2 linked regions of the Daphnia pulex genome follow. The protein of the gene in region 1 purifies or fractionates together with the protein of each later gene. This does not show direct contact. Links are inferred from orthologs where the notes say so. Each region holds a gene or a part of one and is shown in the gene's direction. Other genes may lie near its edges.

The links. Proteins that work in one complex are often made in the same cells at the same time.
Region 2: the proteins of synaptojanin-1-like (region 1) and endophilin-A-like purify together in Drosophila melanogaster (affinity purification with western blotting; 3 studies listed by BioGRID). This does not show direct contact. The link is inferred for Daphnia pulex from reciprocal best matches to the Drosophila melanogaster genes Synj and EndoA.

The regions. Positions count from the first base shown.
Region 1 is NC_060023.1:5,749,180-5,753,257, reverse strand, and holds the start of synaptojanin-1-like, read left to right. Parts: upstream 1-1,278; 5' UTR 1,279-1,447; coding exon 1,448-1,574; intron 1,575-1,640; coding exon 1,641-1,727; intron 1,728-1,796; coding exon 1,797-2,073; intron 2,074-2,162; coding exon 2,163-2,864; intron 2,865-2,934; coding exon 2,935-3,100; intron 3,101-3,190; coding exon 3,191-3,241; intron 3,242-3,338; coding exon 3,339-3,365; intron 3,366-3,428; coding exon 3,429-3,706; intron 3,707-4,028; coding exon 4,029-4,078.
Region 2 is NC_060027.1:5,385,568-5,389,668, reverse strand, and holds the start of endophilin-A-like, read left to right. Parts: upstream 1-1,301; 5' UTR 1,302-1,457; exon of another isoform or gene 1,458-1,660; intron 1,661-2,320; exon of another isoform or gene 2,321-2,494; intron 2,495-2,950; 5' UTR 2,951-3,046; coding exon 3,047-3,091; intron 3,092-3,559; coding exon 3,560-3,628; intron 3,629-3,718; coding exon 3,719-3,821; intron 3,822-3,882; coding exon 3,883-3,999; intron 4,000-4,101. UniProt on the Drosophila melanogaster protein: Required presynaptically at the neuromuscular junction. Implicated in synaptic vesicle endocytosis.

The DNA.
Region 1 (4,078 bases):
TAGATGACAGACATTGATCAAATTCTAAAGATTTTTAAAGATCAGATAGAAGTTGCAGAGCGACTCAGTCGTTTGAGGGTACAGAACCCAAAGCCGGTACAAATTCCACAACTAGTCAAAGCAGCAACAACACCCAAAGGCAGCTCGGAGTAAGCAGTAAGCCGACTACCCAATCCAAATCTCTTAACAGACCCAGGAAAAACAAGGCGCCACCTCCAAGGAGAGAAGCAGCAGCTCCAACCCCAAAAAAACAAACGCTGCCCTGCGTTTTCTGCATGTAAACTGCACAATGGAGCTGGAGGAAAAGAAGACGATCATCACAAACCAAAAAAGATGTTCAAACTGCTTTGGTCTCCACAAAAAAATTGACTGCTTGAATCCCCACCGCCGGTGCACCGCCGGTGCAGGAGCCAGCGATGTGGAGCAAAACACCACCTTATCTGTATTTGGCCTTTAGGCAAAAGAGGGTTGTAGGCAGCATGAAAACGGTGATTTGGATTAAGGTCTTCTGCAATTTCACCACATTAAAAGAACCGCCCTCCAAAAATTGCGTGGGGTCCGTTTTAAAGTGGGGGGAGCTTATCTCAACTTAGATAAGATATTCTACGTGGGGAAATTATAATTTTGATAATAAAATAAACATACTGTGAGAATCAGCGTGAAAAACTGATTCGAATCATATTAATTTCCACCCGATCCCTTATTCATGCAAAGACCTCGTTTTTTCGTTTATATTTGAGTAAGTTTTGTAAATGTAAACATATACCATATATATAACCCCCTTACCCTCTCCCAGGGATGTGCGTAATTCCCCCGCTCGACCCCCTACCCCACCCCCCCTTTAGGCCGGCTTGGGCAGCGCGTCAGCCCCGTAAAACTCAAAACTTTAAAACATGTTTTACGGGCACTGGCATTCACGCTCATTTGCACACCCCAACCCCACCAAGGTGGTTTTTTTGTACGAATTTTTTTACGAATACGAATTAGAAATTTGGATCATTGAACATAGTTTTGGGGAAAAATTTGCTTTCTGATTTTGATTTATAAAAATGTGATTTAAAATCGAAAAATCACCAAAAAAATCATAAAAGACAAAATGATTTAAGATCAAAATCAAAATCACCCAAAAGTTGATTTAAATCGCGATTTAATCATTTCCAATTTAAATTCCCAATTGATCTTCCGAACACTGCAGCATGGGGGCGCGGCGAGCGCTTTCATCATATTTTCGTTCCTAGTTTGATAGCTAGTTTCCTATCCTCTATGATTCAGCACATTGCACAGCTGATCCCGACTGTGCTACTTTGACATTCTGATTTTTGTCTTTTTGACAGACGAATGTGCGAGAACGAGCCGAGCGTATCAATTCCATTCTAAGTCACGTAAAAGCTAATGTGAGCGCACATTTTATTTTTAAAAGTTGTATTGTTAAAGTGAGCCATCAAAAATGGCTATGGGAAAAAGTTATAAAATATGGCATAAAGTCAATGGACAGGGACCGTACAGTGTTTTACTCGAACAACGAAACCGAGACGAAGCTCTCTTATTTGAATCTCTAGTAATTGCTGCCTTGGGTAATCGAAGCAAAGTTCTTTTTATTCTCACATACAAATAACCAAAATGTATACCATTTTAACTAGGATCTGCTGAGGTTGAAGTTGTGAAAAAATCATACACAAAACTCTCTGATGCTTATGGATGCCTTGGAGTACTGTTAGTCAGTACAGGTTTGTTAAATAATTTAAGTTTTTCATATTTTTAGAATCTAATTTAAGTTTTTTTATATTGGGTTGTAGGAGATGGACCCTTACAATATCTAGTCATGGTTACAGGTTGTGTGTCAGTTGGAAAGATTGGGGAGTCAGAAGTGTTTAGAATCAATCAAACAAGTTTTTTTCCACTGAGGGGACCCCAAACAGTGGAAGAAGAGAGAGTCACTGAACTGAGGAAACTATTCAACTCTGGCACATTTTATTTTCTCTGGTCATCAAGTGAAGACTCGATTGATGCTACATTATGTACTCAGAAGCTCCAACAGAATCCTGGGACAGACAACAGATTTTTCTGGAATAGGTTTGCAATTACAAACAAAATAGACCAGATTTTTATATAAGTAAGGAAGTGTTGTGGGTTAAGTCTTAACTTAATTTTTAATTTTTTAGGCTGTTGCATCTACCATTGCAACATTATGGAATTGACTGTTCCCACTGGCTTCTACGGATAACATGTGGCAGCGTTGAAATTCGCACTGTTTATGCAGGACATCGTCAGTTCAAAGCAGCAATTTTTTCTCGTCTTAGCTGTGAACGGGCTGGTACGCGATTTAATGTACGCGGCGTTAACGACGAAGGCCATGTAGCTAATTTCGTTGAAACGGAGCAACTCATATATGGTGACCAAGGAGATGCTTCAGCTTTTCTTCAAACTCGTGGATCTGTCCCCCTCTTCTGGGAACAGCCAGGTGTTCAAGTAGGCTCGCATAAAGTCAGATTTTCTCGTGGCCCTGAAGCTTCTTCGCCAGCTTTGGAACGCCACTTGAAACTAATGCAGCAAAGATATCATGACACAGCTATTGTAAATCTACTCGGTCTCAACATGGTGGGTGCGAAAGAAGGCGAGGCTTCTCTTAGTCAACTCTTCCAGGCTGATCAGAAGCGCTACTACGAAGCAATGCCTCACATAATGTTCGACTACCACCAAGAATGTAAAGGTGGTAATCTCCAAAATCTCAGCAAATTGAAACAAAGTCTGAAGCCGATCCTAGATCGCCATTCCTTCTTCCTACTCAAGAATCAGCGAGTAGTTTCACAGCAAAAAGGAGTTGTTCGTACCAACTGTCTTGACTGCCTTGACCGAACTAATTGGTATGATTAATTATTTAGGTTGTTTTTGTGGATTGGTGACTTATAGTTGCATATTTTGTTACCAAAAAAGTGTGCAGACATTCATCGGTTTAGAGATGTTAGCACTACAATTGGAGGCGCTAGAACCCCAGACGAAACCACAGACGTGGACAAGGTTTGAGGAAGTTTTCCGGGCGATGTGGGTTAACAATGGAAATGAAATCAGCAAAATCTACGCTGGAACTGGCGCTATACAAGTGATTGATTTTATTAAAAATTTTATTTTGAGCTGTTTTTTTTTTTCTTTCTTTTTTTCTGAATTAATTAAGAACGTGTTTTTCTAATAGGGTGGATCAAAGATAATGGATGGCGCGCGTTCGGCTGCTCGTACTATTCAAGTAGGCTATGCGTAACCTATGCCCGGTGTTTTATTTCCACTTAATGTATAATTTGAAAGGTTAAAATAACATTTATATTTTTTTTATTTTTTTTAAGAATAATTTATTGGACAGTAGTAAACAGGTAAAATTCGAAATTAAATCGTAAGCTTGAAATTGGAAATATAACTCGGTCCTTTTAAAATAGGAAGCATTCGATTTGCTGATCCATGGAGGTACGGGGAATGATTTCATCTTTGACCTGGCTCGCAGTCTTTTACCACCGCACTGGAGTGTCCTGCCTGCCGATATATTGCATGGCATGTGTTCTCGCTATTCTGAATTCACGGAGCCGCAACCTATTCGCGTGGCAGTTGGAACATACAACGTCAATGGTGGTCATCATTTCCGTAGTGTCGTTTACAAAGACTCTACATTGGCCGACTGGTTGCTTGATAGTCCACATCAAGATTCAGCTGCCGCTAGGTAAAACTTACTCCTTAATTTACTGAAAAGCCAACTGTAATTTTCTCCCATTTTTACTTACCCTTTAAAAAAATTTATTTCGTGGAATTGGGATGGGTGAGTTAACTAATATATGTTAGCATGATTAGAGCATCCCAATTTGGAAATGATTGGAGCATGTGTAATTGTCTATTTTCCTTTAGATTCTAGTTAACGGATTTTCTTTAAATTCTTTTGACTTGTTTATTTTATTTTATTTTTATTTTATTTTTTTTGTTTCTTCGCTTTTCCTTGCGTCCAAGTCCGTTATTAATGGCAATTTTTGTGGTATTTTGGTGAATAGATCATTGGTGTGTCTAAGCGAGGAACAAGGTTGGCGAACAGCGGACATCT
Region 2 (4,101 bases), on another chromosome or scaffold:
AAGAAGCATCAGTGAATTATTAATCAAACGTGGTAATTATTTATAATGAATTAGGACATAAGACGAGAAATAAGAAATAAAGCCAAGAAGCTGTAATAAAAAGAAAAAAATTATTTGTTAAATAATAGTTTAATTTTTGTTTGTTATTGCATTGATGAGTATTTTTTTTTATTATGTAACCATTTAGTTTAGGATTCTGTTTAAAAATTGTTCTGTTTTTTTCATTGGCTCCGTGCAACGGAGTTTCAATTTTTGTCGCTAGATACCCTCCTTTTTCAGTCTCCTTAAGAAAATAGTCAAACAAATTTCACATTCGTTTGCCAGCGATATCATTCGATTTTTAAAAAATCTAAAATCGATAACATTTGTCTAAAGTTAAAGATGAATAATATTTTATCTACACTATTTTATCTATAGCGATTTAATAATTCCATACTCATTTTGATTCAGTTGTTTCATAAAGAGTTCTGTAAGAATAATTGAAACTCAAATTAATCATCCTTGTTGATTGACACAACGAACGAATAAAGTTACCGTGGTTTTTAAAATATTGAAATCCAGATTACAAAGCCGAGCCGGGTGGGAGGGATTCAATTAAATTGTTTTCTCCCTTATAGTCTTCTCAGTTGTAATGGTCTTATCGATTTTCTTACCAATTAGAGACTGCTAATTTTGGTGCCTATTTAGTTTTGTGACAGTTGTAATTTATTGTTGTCGCTAGATCACGTCTATTGCTGAAAATATTGCTGCCATTACATAAAAAGAAACAGTTTACTCGGCTTAAGTGAGACTAAGTTGTGTATTTTTCCAAAGAATTGTCCCCAACACTTCCAGCCGCTTTTAGCTTATTGAGTTCCAAATCGAAAACGGCTAAACTCTAAAGCAGAGTAGTTTCACTCAAGTCGCCGCTATTTTCCAAGAAAAAAAAACGAATGCAAGTTGCAGAGCCTTGCTGCATTATCGATCGTGGGTCTAGAACCACAGACAAAGAGAGAAAGAGTACAGAAACATGTCTCGACCAAGTGGAAAATGGGCGTTAGCAAGTGCTCAGATTCAATTCGTGTCGGCGGTTTCCTTCCCACGCTACGCCCGAACGCAAATCTAAACGACAGCCAATAGAATTTCTCTGTGAGCAATTGTTGACGCCCTTTTTACCGAGCGAGTGTAACATTTTTCCATGTGAGAAGGGATGTGAGCGCGTCCTCCATGTCTTATTCTCCGTGTTCCGCCGACTCTTACGAAAATAATCTTATCACGATTTGGCAACGCGGTATGCCAGCCAGACTCCTCCCCCCCACCCACTCCTCCTTGCCGTCAGCAGTTGCAGTCAAGCAGCGGTCGACGGTGCTGAAATAGTCCCGCTTGTGGTCTTCGACATTCGATTGGGGAAAAAAGTGTGAATATTCGGTGCCATCATACTTCGATCCAGTTAAAGTAAACGAGACAACAACAGTCAAGTAAGTGTGACCGTTTTATTGTTGTCTCATGAAATAACGACAAGGTCTGCTTGTTGTCTCGTTGGGTATTTCTTGCCTTGGGCTTTTAGCATGCAGACAATTTGCAGGTGGATCAAGATTTAGTCACTCCATCTGTTTTTATTCCACTTGATTATATATAGTCGTCGCACTGATGTCAGATCGTACCCAAATTCTCCAAATAGGTTAGCAAACCAAGTTATTTTATCGGGTCTAGATTCTTATCGGTGCCCAGACGGGCAATATTGATTAGTCATATCGTAGCAGCGAATACATAAGTGCCGTTGTATAGTAGTAGTGGTAGTGTTGACGCGCGCCCTACAAAGACACAGATGAGAGATGGCTCTCTCTCTCTCGTATAATGGTTCAAAACGGCCGTTCTCCGGGGGGACTTGTTCACCCACACTACTAGCATCCACCACATTGACTTTCTTTTCTTCTTTTCTGAAAGCCTTTTATGGGTATCTTACGTATACGTCTACTGTTTCGCTCGTCCCACCTCATTCCATAACGGTCAAGTCTCTCTATCCCTGCCCAAACCAAATTCAAAAGAGATACACAAGAAGAAGAAGGTCGATATTTGTTATCGAAAGGCCGTGGTTGGATTCCATATTTGGAACTAGAAATAACAAATTCTACATTTCCCTCCCACTCTCTTTCTCTGGATGGAAATGATAAAAAAATCGGAAGAATTCTCCTCCATACAAGCAAAAGTAAAACGCCCCGTGTATTTCACTTTTGCTTTCCTTTTTCTTTCCGTCTGCTATTCGTTGGGGGGTAAAAAGAAAAACAAAAGATGTTGACCATGCCCGATTGCCGTCGTTAACAACCGGAGAATCAGACAGTCGATGAAACTCGTAATGGAGAGATAGGTTCAAGTTTGCAATTGCAATCGCGTCGGGCGCGTGCGCCTCGTCATGTTCTTTCGTTTCCAATTGTCATTTTGGCAACGGCTACTCTTCTCGTTCGACCGGTACTCAAGATCCGTTACGTCGGCTGGCCTGTTCCACTTCCTAGCGGTACTTATTCGGTTCATATTTGTTACTTTCGTTTTAGCAGTAACTCTTATATTCGTTGTCGATAAAACAAACAAAAAAGAAAACAACTGCGTCGATATGTTCACGGTGGCGAGTGTGTGGGTAAACGCTATCGACGACTCCCACTGCTCTGTTTGTGTGCCGAGGTAGCGGGGGGTAAGGGTTAGGGGTACGTCTGTGCCAGTATCAATCAATAACTTTGCTGATGCATACTACTGCCATCGAGCTGAAAGTCAGTTTTTCTTCCCTTCAGCCCAGATGGTGAACGATAATCGAATTTGTGTCTAGCTATCGATTCTTAAGCGTGTCTGGAAAAATCAATAAAAATGGCGCTCGATTTGAAAACAAGTTTATACCAATGAACTTAATTCTAGAAAATTGTGTCTAGTGATTTCTTATTGTTCACCGTGATTTCCATTTTGTTATTCTGATGAGCAGGTGGATGCCAAATACTGGGACACGTCAGTAGTGCTTCATTCAGTTGGAATCTAAAAGGAGGAATCCAGAAAGGCCAACCCCAAAACCGAAAGCATCATGGCGTTCGCCGGTCTCAAGAAACAGATCAATAAAGCCAACCAAGTATGTTCTGTGTATACTGTATTGATTTTACACACCCCCGCGCTCTCCATGTTCTTTTTCTTCATCGATCCGTGGTTTCTCCTACTCCCCACTCCTTATTCCTTTTGGGTCGCCTTCTTCTCATGTCGGAAACTTTTTGTTTGAGGCTGGACTTGAGATTGGATTTAAAATCGTAGAGCTGAATGAATTTGAGATTCACAGACCGTGAAGAAGATATCGGTTTGACGCAGTCGGTTCAAATAGTGGGAGGTTGAGTGGTTGCAAGAAAACCGATTGAAAACAACGCTGGACAAGAGAATAATGCATGGGCGGTCTTGTTCTATGACTTACAAGTTTTGATTCCTCCTATTAAATCCGACATGACGAAATTGCATGTGCCCACACCTCCGTTCGTTTTCTTGTAATTTTGATTTTGTCGTCTCATGTTATCTACCATTTTTGCTCTAATTTTCCTTGTCAATTGAATAGTATGTCACGGAGAAGATGGGTGCCGCAGAAGGCACCAAAATGGACGATGACTTCGTCGAAATGGAGAGGGTAATGATGATTGAATGTTTCATTTTTTGGACGATAGTGTTAACGTTTAACTTTTGTTTTGTTTTCACTTTGACTTTTCTCGACACACAGAAAACTGATGTTACTTATGAACTAGTGGAGGAGCTCCAAATGAAGACGAAAGAGTTTTTGCAGCCCAATCCTACTGCCCGGGCTAAGATGGCCGCAGTCAAAGGTAATTCTTAATGATTTAACAAGCCATGCCGTTTCGTACTAATGTCAAGATCGTTGACCAGCAGGAATAAGCAAACTAAGTGGTCAAGCCAAAGCTGCCACCTACCCACAGCCGGAGGGAACCCTAGGGGAGACCATGTCGGCATATGGACGCAAACTAGGCGAAGAATCCGTTTTCGGTGCGTGAACACATTTCTATTTTTGTTCATTCAATTGTTCATCGGATATTATCGATTGGCTGTGTCGCTAAAGAGGAAACCGATCGATAGTCTCCGGGTTTC